Struthio camelus: one gene and its partners. The protein of the gene in region 2 binds, or shares a complex with, the protein of the main gene of each other region. Links are inferred from orthologs where the notes say so. Each region holds a gene or a part of one and is shown on either strand. Other genes may lie near its edges.

Region 1 (3,747 bases), on a different chromosome or scaffold from region 2:
TGCAAAACAGCTGATGTCTTACAGACACAGAAAGAAAGAAAGAGCCAGCAACAGAGTTTAAGTCTACCATTAATTCATAATCTTTCACTCCTAAGCACTATGGTCAAAGCTAACAAATACTTTATAAAGACTTTCCTCACCTATCAAAAACCATAAACGCTCAAGAACTTCGCGCAAGCCACCCACTCTATTTGTGAGGCTGAATGAGGTGCGAAGCACAACATGCAAGAGGAAGAATACGTACAGATTCTTTGTGCTCGGCACTATATGTGGCTCAAACTTGCCATAGTCAAACTCTCTGGCCGTCTTTGTCAGCCTCTGATACTTCTTGCCATTAGTATAAGCCTGCAGCTCCGACATCCTACACGGCATCTCGTGGCCGGTCAGCCTGCATCTCACCTGAAGGAAGACAAGCAGGATAAAAGTGAGGAAAGCACAAGGGATGACGGCCGGGCTGCAGAGGGGAGGGCTCGTACCAGGGCCCTCCTCCCTGATGGCCTCAGTCCCACAGCGGGGAGAAAAACCTCCGGGCCAGGCAGCAACCTGGGGCCGAGCCCAGAGCCCAGGTGCTGGGGTGCCTTCCCCGGTCCCCCCGTGGCTCTCAGGGCAGGCGGCCCCGCTCCCCCCTCACGGGAGCCGGCTCCAGTCCCGGTCCCCTCCGCCCCCCGGGCTCCTCACGGAGGCGGCCGCAGTCCCGCTGCCCCCTCAGGGCCCCCTCGCAGGAGGCGGCCCCTCAGCCCCGCAGCGCAGGCCTCACCTTGCCCGGCTCCGCCAGGCCGAGGAGCGGGTGCTGCCGCAGGAAGAGCCGGACCTCCTGGGGCACCTCGGCCATGGCCGCGGCCGGGGAGGGGCAGGGGCGGCCGCCGCCGCCGCCATCGCCGCCGGGCATCTCCGCGCGGCCCCGCGCCTCGGCCTCGCCGCCCGGCGCCCGCATCATAGAGACGCTCTGCTAGACAGGAGCTCGCCTATACTTCCGGTCCGGGCCACGCCGGAAAGCAGCCGGTGGCATAGAGAGAGGCGGCTAGAGAGGAGCTTACCCGGCACGACCGGCGGGCGGTCTAGGCCGGAGGCGGGCGGGCGGCGAGGGGCCGGCGGCGGCGTTGCCATGGCGACCTGGCGGCTGCTGCGGGAGCCCCGGGCCCAGGTGCGGCGGGGGGCGGCGGCCCGGCGCCCCCCTCGGTGCCCCCCTCGGTGCCCTCGGGGGAGGCGGCCCCGGTCCGGGCCTGGTGTCCCCCTGCGGGACGCCACCAGGTGGATTGGTTAAAAACCGATCCTTTTGGGAAAAAAAAAAACAAACCACGGTTTGGTAGCGCAGAGAGCGTTTGTCGCGGTCTAGTGAGCGGCGTAAGCGGGGTGGAGTTTCATTTCCTCGGAGTTACAGCCTAAACTGTGGTGCTTGGCCGGTGGTTGCCCAGAGGAGGCTTAAATACAGCAGGAAACGAAACCTGCCACCCTGGAGGCAGCTGGCACCGTCTCGGGGCAAACGTCGCCGAGCGGAGTCACTGCAAAGGGTCGTTTTTGTTTCCCGTAGGTGTCCTGTGGCTTGGTCAGACGAGCATGTTTCGGATGTCCTCTCACTGAAGCGCGTTCTGGTCTGCTGCAGCGCACTAAAGGTAAGGAAAGGTTTAGCCGAGGCGTCCGCCCCGTTTCTGCCTTACTCCAGCCGTGACGTTTTCTGCGGGACTTTGGCACCTTTTCTGCAATACGAAGCCGCTTCCTCGTTCTGGTTTTCTCCAGACCTTTGCTTGAGGCCGTGCAGACCGCGAAGCTCTACAGCAGCCGCTGGCGCATCTGAAGAGGGTGTCTTACTCAAGTGGGGCCTTCTCCTTGTCCCTCTGACCACCTTCTGCCTTGGCACATGGCAGGTACAAATAAATATTTCGTTCTTCCATGAGAGAAGAGCTTAAGGGCTGTCTGGTGGTTCCATCCTCGGCTGTTTAATGTGAGCTAGTTCACACCACAGCCAGGGTAAAGATTGGAAGATACTTTTTCATATATAGTTTTCCTAGTTACCGTTTGTGAGTTTCATGTAAGTCTTTGAATGAGAGATTCATTTATTTTACTTTTATGTCAGTATTTCTTCTCTCCCCAAATGAAGTTAGTAGCCTCCATTTTTGAATCTGCAATTATGTTGCTTTAGGCCACATCTGAAGAGAAAATACCGATAAAAGAAGCAGACTCTGTTTTCAGCCTTGCCAGGTTATTACACTGCTCTGTTCTACCAGTGGGAATTACTCTGTGTATTTCCAGGTTCAGCGACGAAAGTGGAAATTGGATTTGATTGCGCAGTTGGCGTCAAGAATTGCAGCAGAGCCCATCCCTCTGACATTAGAGTAAGGAAGCTGAGATGTTGCAGTTTGCTGTCTGCCAAGTACTGCCAGTGTGCTGGGGGTACTAGTTATGGTCCCTACGCTCTACAACATGTAGTCTATGTTAAACTAAACTGCATGCAAATGAAGAAATGCAATGGGAATCAGAATGCGCAAGCAAATTCACAGGATAGACAGTCGTGTTCGTTCTCTTGTTTCAAATGCATATTGCAAACACCTCCCTGTGGGATACTCTAAAGGCATCTAAAGGGGTCAAATCTCTGTTCTGGAGACTGTGGTATGTAATTCAGCCTGGAGAAAGAGGGTTTGGGAGTTGTTGCCCAAGATGTCCCAGAGGAGGGGGTTACTGAGCACCGCTGAAGAAAGATTGGTTGTTGCTGTACAGTATTCCTGCAGCAAGGGAGTCTTAGAACGATAGCAAGCTCTGCCCCAAGTGCAGAGCAGTTGGGTCAGATACAAGAGAGAGTTTTAAGGTCACTTTAGCCATATGGTACAACTGTCAACACAGTTCAGTAGTTCTATTTCACAGTCTGGGATGGGAAAGAAATGCTCCCTGTTGGCATGATGTACACGCAGTGTGTCACCTGCTGTCTCGCTGTGTGCATCGTGTGCATCACTGAAGTGGTATTCAGTTACAGATATCATGGAAAAGAGCTGTGCTCTAGATGCTCATGATCTTAGTGATTTGACTTACTATGATAGTAACAAAATCTTAAGCCAAGCTGCTTATACCAGGAGGTACTTGTCTTCTCTTTCTGTTTGCCAGCTGGACCTAGAGAAAATCATGGGGAGAAGGAGAATCCCATAATAAAATTCCCTGGTTTGATCTGTCTACCACAGCCGTGATTTTGTTTTCACCTTGTTCCATGCAGCCCTATGGAACTGAAAGAATTAGAGTACAGGCCTGTAAAGGTCCGAGGGCATTTTGACCACTCCAAGGAGCTCTATATTTTGCCACGGTCACTTGTGGACCCTGAACGAGAAGCGAGAGAAGCCGGACGGCTGACATCCAACCCAGAAAACGGAGCAAATGTAGTTACTCCTTTCTACTGCACAGACCTAGGGTAAGTGTGTTCATGCACAAGCCTGAGAACATGTGTATGTGTAGTTAATTAAAGTCATGCTTTATCCGAGCTGAATCTTAGTGGCTGGGTTTATGTGAAGCACTCACTGTCCTTTAAAAGGTCTCTGTCTCTCACAACCTGTTAAGTCGCAGAGGCTTGCTTCCAAGTTGTATCTGAAATCCCTTATAACGTGCACTCAAATGACAAAAAAGTGGCACCAAACATATGGGTTGCTTCTTTTTTTCGCTACCAAGCTCTAGGCAGCGGCAGGAATAATGAACAATTTCCTTTCTCTAATGAGCTGTATTTGTCCTCTTTATGTAACTCTAGCGTCACGATTTTAGTCAACCGAG
Region 2 (3,747 bases):
CCCGGGCGGCGCAGGGAGACGGTTACCTGGGCCCGGGGGCGAGGCAGGGCGGCGCGGCACCAGGGGGGGCCGCCCGCGCCCCGCCGCGGCTGTAGCGCCGCAGCACCCGGCCGCGGCCGGTCGCCATAGCGAGCTCCGCCGCCGCTGGGCGGAGGGAGGGGAGCGGCGGCTGCGCGGGGGCCGCGCAGCGTCTAAGATGGCGCCTGATAGGGAGCGTTGCTAGATGGAAAAACAATTAATCTCTCCCTGAGCTGCTGGTTGTTTTAGGACCTGCGGCAGGAACTCGTGTGAGTTCCCAGGCAGCGCCTCCGTTTGTTTAGAGCAAGCCGTTATTTGAGCGTTTCCTACAGTTGCTTCGCGGAACAGTGACAGTAAGACGCCGCAACGTATGAACTCGACCTTCCCCGTTAAATTAACGCCCGTTTTCCGCTAACGATTCGTTAAGTTCCTTATCGATGTGAAGCTCCTTAGGAAAGGTGCAGCAAAATCTTGTCCGGTAATCTAACTCATCATATTTATTTGCTGAGTGAGATTTTACATATATCTCTCTTACATGTGGCTTATACGTTTGCATGCAGACTCTTGTGATGTATGCGTTTCTTAAAGAAAAACAAGATTAAACACGTGTTCAGGGCAAAACTGACGAATAGGATTTGCTCTGACAGGTGGTTGGCTCCATGACTGCCGGGACACGTACAGATTTTAAATAAGGAGATCTTATTTCCATCAGGTTCTAGAGCCAAAAAAAAAAAACGCACTTGCAAGCAGGATTTAATGAGCAAAAATGATACATTTCATTAGTTTGATTGTTCCTAAACAAAAAACAACAAAAAAAAAAAACCTCTGCACCATACTGGACATTATTGAAAAATCTTCATACCGGGCAAAGCAAAAACAGATTAAAAAAACAAACAACCACAATAACGGCCGCCGGAAGCACACGACGGCCGGCGCGCGCACGCAGCCCCTGACGGTTAACGGCCCTCGGGGGGGGTTGGGCCGCGCCGGGCCGGGCCCGGCCGGGCCGTCGGCGCTTTGCATCGCGGTCGCTGTAGTTACTTTCCTGTGAGTCGTTTTCAGTAGCGGGCGCAAGAGGGAGTTTTTATAAACTACCCTTCCCAGGGCCCGCTGCTACTTTTTCCGAAAGATTTCCGCCGGGACAATGGCGAGGCGCAGCTGTCCGCGAGTAAAGGGGTAACGTGAACTTCTGAAGCGAAGCGCAAGCTGCAGGCCAAAATTGAGAGCAGGAGACCGCACTGATGGTTTTTTAAGGGCGGCTCCCCTGCGGCACCCTGCGTGCCCCTCTTGTAGAGGAGAGGACCCGGGAAGACGGGTCGCGGTGGCACGCAGGAGAAACTTTTAGTTTAGCATAAATCACACTTGGGTAATAGCGTTTTGAAGCCGTCTCTTTTGCCTCAGCATGTTTTCTGCCTCTCTTGTGCGAGCGAGGCAGTGCGGCGAAAAGCTGCAGGTCTCCTCGGGGAAGTGGCTGCTCGCAGCCTCAGGAAGGGTGCTCTCGGCGACCTGGTGCCTGAGGTGGAGGCACCAGCCCCCCCGCAGGGAGCCTGCCCTGCGCCCTTTTGGATTTTTGCAGGATGCAAAACAAAATATCTGGACGCAAGCAGGGGGTCTGAGAGCTGGAAAATCTGGTGGTAATAGCAAACAGATGTCAGTGCAAAGGGATCAAAAACAAGAAACCCTTCTGTCGGCTGCTCAGAAAGGTAAGACGGCCTGTAGTGACTAGTGAGTGGGAATAGTGTGCAATACTTGAAAAGGCTGACCCGTAGGAAATCAGACGTTGTTGCAATTGAGATTTTAGAGCCCCAGAACTCAGGAGCTGAAAAGTTGTGATTCTCAGAAAAAAGGCAAGTTACGCCCTTTTCTTTTTACATTACGCTGTTTCCAGCAATTGACACATTTTAGGGGGTGTGTTACACAAGCAAAATAGAAATTCCGTGGCTTCTTCCGAACACCTTTTTAGTGTTTAAGTCAAGAGCGTGCCACATCTGGGGTAAGATATGGTAACCTCTCCTTTCCATTTTCTAAAGGAAGACCTGTTGCACACAATCCATCTTCGATGCTGCTAAACCAAATTTACTCCTGGTAAAATTGGCAAAGCTCTTTGTTATTGGAAATATTTCTATCATAAATGAGATTTTTACTAGGTGACAGGTAATTCTCCATTTAGCTCAATACTGGCTAATTTATCTTGCATTTTTTTTTCACTCTCTTCTCTCCTCACCTGTTCATCGAGTTAATTAGTCTGCTTGGAACTGCATGCTGCCTGGGTAATTTGCTTCCGCTTCCAGAGACAACTCATGCAGAGTTTACACTGTACTTGTAATATTAGTACAGTGTGATTGAATTTAACAGTTAATTCCAATGGAAAAAAACAGATGAATTCAGCATACAAAGAATTTATATATTAGGCTAGCTGACAAATGGTTCAGCACTCTGAGTAGCTAATGTACAGGAAGCTGATTCCCTGTAAGATCTGCAGCAGTCGGCTAATGTTTCTATGTGGATGACTGAGGAGATCTCTACCTGCACCGTTCAGTTTAGTCCTCTGCTGTCACAGGTACCCCTGTTTTGGTTTTGTTTTTAATGAGCTCAGCAGGCTAACCTTAACATTAGTTACAGTTCTTAACTTGTTAATACATTTTTTTTCTTGAGGATTAAAATCTATTTTAATCTTCAACATAAGTAACAAAAGGGAATAGTTCTCAAACTGTGCACAGAAAAAATTTGCTGTTGAAATGTTACTCGTCCTCCTACTCTTCTGTAATGTCATACTATTCATGGTTAAAGAGTACCAGTAGATGATCTAACCTGTCCTCTGGTATGCAGCAAACCTTTACGTTTCAGCTAGTAGTCCTGCTATTTAGCCTAATAACTTGTGGTTGACACAAATCACCCAGAAAACCACCAAGACTTGACTGATCTGGTCTCACTAGCTTTCTAGCTCTTTAACATTGATTGTAAAGGATAACTTCATCTGGATTAAAATATCCTGCCCAACCACTGCAACAGTAATGAGATATGTTTCAACGTTCTGCCATGCAACAATACTTCCTCTCAGGCTGAAGAGGCAGCAGGGCTTGAGACGGAGTTTTCTCCAGATCACCCAGCCAGCAGGACACATATAGTACCATCTTCCCCTATCTGCTTGAGCTGTTAAGAAACAGATGCTCAATAATGTAGAGCAGGTTGTTTGTCAGAGGAATGGTTGTAGCACCCACAACCTATTTCTAGCTGCTGCTTTCCTACAGCTCCCTCTTTGTTACCTAGCCAGACTGCCTCTCATATAAGTGGCCTTGCATCTGTGGGATCATGGGAAACGAGGCATCCTTTGTTATATGTTGCCACCAGAGCAATTTATTTAACTCATAGATCATTCTGACGGGCTGTGGGGAAAGAGAGGGACTGGATTAAGTTGCTCTGAATGCTGCCCACAGGTGGTATGTTTTGGTGACCTAGCCTAGACATTGAGTGCAGAGTTGAAACGCTTCATTTCACATCACTGTATAACACTAAACTAAAAACGATTTCAGAGACGTGTACAGTGAATATCATGATTTCATCAATCTGGAACATGTCAAAATCTAATTAAGTTGCTTTTTGTACACTGCTACTTAGTTTTCTAAAATCTGTTCCACTTCATCATCTTTAGTTCAGCTGCAGTTGCAACAAAACTTCATGCTTGGGGGTGAAGAGGGATGAAGAAGGGAAATTTCTTGTAGATTATAG
Region 3 (3,747 bases), about 48 Mb from region 2:
TAAGAAAACAAACTGAGAAACGTTTGGTTCAACTTCTCTCCGCCAGGAAGCTCATACAATAAATAGCCAAGCATGTATGCTGTAGTAAGAAATAGCAGCAGAGGACACTCTCAAATTGGGACAGTCGTCATTTTAATTTCAGATGAATCAAGGGTTCTGTGAGCCTGGTACTCAGGACCTTGTAATCTGGTAACATTCACATACACTTTACTGAACGCTCAAGCCTAAACGCTGATCTCAGTTACACCGCTAGAAAGCCTACTAAATACGCTCCAAGAGTGAGTGACACCAGGTTATGCGGTACAACGATGGGGGATTATTTAGAGTGAAAAGATAAGCAGAAGAGAGCGGTAATTAAATTAAACACGCCTATCTCTTTGTGGAATCAGTTCCCAGGCAGGATCTAAAATTCAAACCCAAGTCTCTCTCGACTGCTGAAAAGATGCTTACCGAAACTGTTTATTTTACTCTAACGCGTACGGGTGGCTTTTTAAAATATTCCGTTTTGGGGCTTGCCCTGGAAAAATAATAAAGTAGCACAAAAAAAGAATGACTTCCAGAACAAGGTAGGAAGTTTGTGTTTTGGATTATTGTTTCTGAACAGGCAGGATTTTGGATACACAGCAGCCTGCACTTTGCCGCGGAAGTTGGCCGAAAGGCGCAGCTGTCTCTACACAGGCTTGCAAGACTCTCCGCTGCTAACTCTCCTTGCCAGCAAGTATTATACCCTGCTGCCCTTGAATAGCACAAGGCAACTGAGGAAAAACAAAGCAAACTTACAGTGTTTTAACCAGATAGTCACAGGCAACAGAAAAACCCTTTTCCGCAGATCACCACCCCCCCCCCCGAGAAAGCAAGGAGCCCACTCAAGCCGCAGCCCCCACTCATTTCATCACCAGGGCCAAGGCCACCCTCCTCCGGCCGCAGCGAACGGGCGAGGCACGGACCGAGGAAACCCCCAGCCCAGCCCCCGAGGAGCAGGACCCTAGGAAAAATATCCCCTTAGTTTAAACACAGAAGGAGCCAGGGCCGGCGGGGCGGTGGCCGCCGCGGCAGCCACCTTCCCGCCGGCCGGCCCTCCCCTTCCCTCCGCGCCGCCCTGCAGCGCCCCCTGGCGGCGTCGGAGCCCGCGGCAATGGCGGCTCCCACGGCCCACGCGTGAGCCCTTCTGTCGACCGCCGCGCCGTGAGTGGGGGGGGGCAGCGGGGGCCGGGGCGCGGTGAGGGCGGTTACGGCCGTTAGGGCGGGGCCCCAGCCCCCTCCCTTGGCGCGCTCGGCGCTGCACAAAATGGCGGCCGCGGGGCCAGCTCTGGAGGGGAGCTGTGGGGAGCGGGGGTGGAGGGGCAGCGAGGGGGCTGAGACGGGGGGGGGGGGGGAGTTTACATTCAAGGCGATCGCACACCTGAAAAGCAGTGTTGAATGCAAGGAACCGCGGGCGTGTTTAAAAAAGGCAATAGCGGTGCAGATGCAAGTGAGATAACCTAGGCCCGGAACAGCTGTCCAGCCAGGTGTCCCAGTTCCTGCGAAGCGCGCAGGCTTAGCCGAGTAAGAGGATGAGGCAGCGCAGTAATTACCACGCACATCATCTCACAGCGCGATTACTAGAACAGTTTTAATGGTAATTTTATATTTAAATACATCTTAACTGTTTTTAGAAACGGTGCACGAGGCAGATGCATCTCGTAGGCTTTAAGCAAAAGCCAATAAGCCGAAAACGGTTGAGTAATTATAAAGCTCTGAGGACTGGCTTCCTCTAAGGCTGGTTTCGGCTACTTACATAAATATAAGTATCATTTCCAGAGGCCGCGCTGCCCAGGGCCTGTGCTGGCGAGGATGAGCTGGAGAAGGCGCAGGATGCAGTCGCTTGGGCCCCAGTACGCAGAGGGCGACGGGGGTGCGGGGACACGTGAATTTAAAGCAAGTCAGCCGTGGTGACTCTTGTCTACCTACCGAGAAACCTCGGGCCGGATTTACTTTGTCACTCACATACAGCTTGAGAAGTGATTGATGCTCCTTAAGCATGTATTTAATATTCATTCTGATGCCACAAAGGGAAAAAATTGCTATTTCTCCCCCCCCCCCCTTTTAAAAATCCAAGCCCTCCTGTTAAGATCACTCTTGTCACTAAACCAGACTAGTTTCCCCCATCCCTTTTTACTGTACATTTTATCATTTTAAAACGTTTAATATTTTACACAGCAGCATCTCTGAGGTTTGGTGTACTTCATTCATTTCTTCCTAGTGAACCAGATGGGAGACCTGATCTGATTTGAAACTAACTCAGCAAACTCCCCCTGCCTCCCGGCCTGCCTGGTTTTAACCCAGACCAATTACTTTCTGCTGATTTACATGAACTCTTAAAGCACCATAAGCGAGTGGGTAGTGCAGAGTGGGCAGGATTGCCTGATTTTGATAAAGTATTGAACCATACACGTGAGCCTCCCCCCTCAGGCCAGCTTCACAGGTTGGAGTAATAGCAGGCTGTCACAGCAAGATGGCCCTGTTCCACTGCCCCAGCCACTGCACGGTTTGTATCAAAAACCAAGCGGATCCCTAAATCTGAAAGTTGATTTTCCGTTGTATTTGCAGCTTGCAAAACCCTGCAGCTATGCAGTCCAGCAGGAGGGAGGGAGAAGGGGCGAGAGCACCTCTTTCAGCAGAAACAGCCATGCTTAGGTGCTGCATTAAACTGACTCTTAGCCTTTTGGTTTGAGTCTATGCTTTGACTCACAAATTTGAGTGGTAAACCAAGATTTCATTTCATGCAGTAGCCCATGTTGAAGTTTTTCATACTTGAATGGAGGTTCACGTAGAAAAGACAGATGTGTGCATGTTGATGCAGAGATGACAAAATACTGCATTTTTGGCAGCCTGCTGCATCAAGATTTTTTTTTCTTAGTTAACACTTGAAAAGAATTGCTGGTCCTCAACTTCTTAACTTTTCTTTGCATTTTATGTTATATGTTCACTGGCTGATTTTGGATATTTCAACATCTTAACAATTGACACTTTGCTAGTTTAAGATAACATAATAATTTATTACATTTATTTCCCCTAAGACAGAAGGGATTCTCACCAAGAGGGGAATGAAAAGGTTAGTCAAATGTAATAAAGTGATTTTTTATTGTTAGATGAGCTTTAATTTGGATTCCTGTAAATTGAATGAAAAAAAAACATGGAGAATGGAGATAAGGCGCTTTTGTGATTAGAAGAAAAATAAAACCGAAACCCTTCATTACTATCTTGCAGCTTTTTCTAAGTAGCACTTTGCTGTTGCAGTTCTGGAATTAATGAAGTGTGCATGGATTATTGCAGTACATATTTCACTTCAAAGCTGGTTATTGCCTAGAAGTTGGAGGCTCTGCATGGCTGTTGAAACATACTTATCTTGGCCACTTTTCTAATACAAGTTTTGGGGTTTTGCCTCAATGCCGGAGTAGCAAAAAGAGTAAAATAAATCCTTACATTTGCAGATCTGACCCCAGCATAACAGGAGGAAGAACTGATGCTGGGGGTTTTCACTAGACTTAGCATATTATAGCTGAGTATTGTCACCCACCCAAAGGGACAGGCATACGCATGTCTTCTCCAATAACATGGCACTTGACCTTTAGTTTATACCTGCCACAGGCTACTCAACACAGATGAATGTGACTTACCTACTAAACGCCAGAGCTGCATTCAAGCATTGCTATTTCACAACAGTTTCTCTTATTTGACCCAGAATAACTTACCTAAGGAAGTCTG

Evidence for each region. The genes of interacting proteins can lie anywhere in the genome.
Region 1: TIMM21 (region 2) and SURF1 share a complex: the UniProt entries of both Homo sapiens proteins name them as parts of the MITRAC (mitochondrial translation regulation assembly intermediate of cytochrome c oxidase complex) complex. The link is inferred for Struthio camelus from reciprocal best matches to the Homo sapiens genes TIMM21 and SURF1.
Region 3: TIMM21 (region 2) and COA1 share a complex: the UniProt entries of both Homo sapiens proteins name them as parts of the MITRAC (mitochondrial translation regulation assembly intermediate of cytochrome c oxidase complex) complex. The link is inferred for Struthio camelus from reciprocal best matches to the Homo sapiens genes TIMM21 and COA1.

Annotation. Positions count from the first base shown.
Region 1 is NC_090961.1:5,153,198-5,156,944, forward strand, and holds the start of SURF1 (surfeit locus protein 1), read left to right. Parts: upstream 1-980; 5' UTR 981-1,105; coding exon 1,106-1,144; intron 1,145-1,531; coding exon 1,532-1,613; intron 1,614-1,737; coding exon 1,738-1,865; intron 1,866-2,250; coding exon 2,251-2,333; intron 2,334-3,202; coding exon 3,203-3,394; intron 3,395-3,724; coding exon 3,725-3,747. Other genes in the region: SURF2 (surfeit locus protein 2), read right to left, coding at 1-17, 245-399, 758-937. UniProt on the Homo sapiens protein: Component of the MITRAC (mitochondrial translation regulation assembly intermediate of cytochrome c oxidase complex) complex, that regulates cytochrome c oxidase assembly.
Region 2 is NC_090943.1:108,128,293-108,132,039, reverse strand, and holds the start of TIMM21 (mitochondrial import inner membrane translocase subunit Tim21), read left to right. Parts: upstream 1-1,001; 5' UTR 1,002-1,420; coding exon 1,421-1,721; intron 1,722-3,747. Other genes in the region: FBXO15 (F-box only protein 15), read right to left, coding at 27-127. UniProt on the Homo sapiens protein: Participates in the translocation of transit peptide-containing proteins across the mitochondrial inner membrane.
Region 3 is NC_090943.1:60,050,445-60,054,191, reverse strand, and holds the start of COA1 (cytochrome c oxidase assembly factor 1 homolog), read left to right. Parts: upstream 1-1,114; 5' UTR 1,115-1,185; intron 1,186-1,777; exon of another isoform or gene 1,778-1,969; intron 1,970-3,734; exon of another isoform or gene 3,735-3,747. UniProt on the Homo sapiens protein: Component of the MITRAC (mitochondrial translation regulation assembly intermediate of cytochrome c oxidase complex) complex, that regulates cytochrome c oxidase assembly.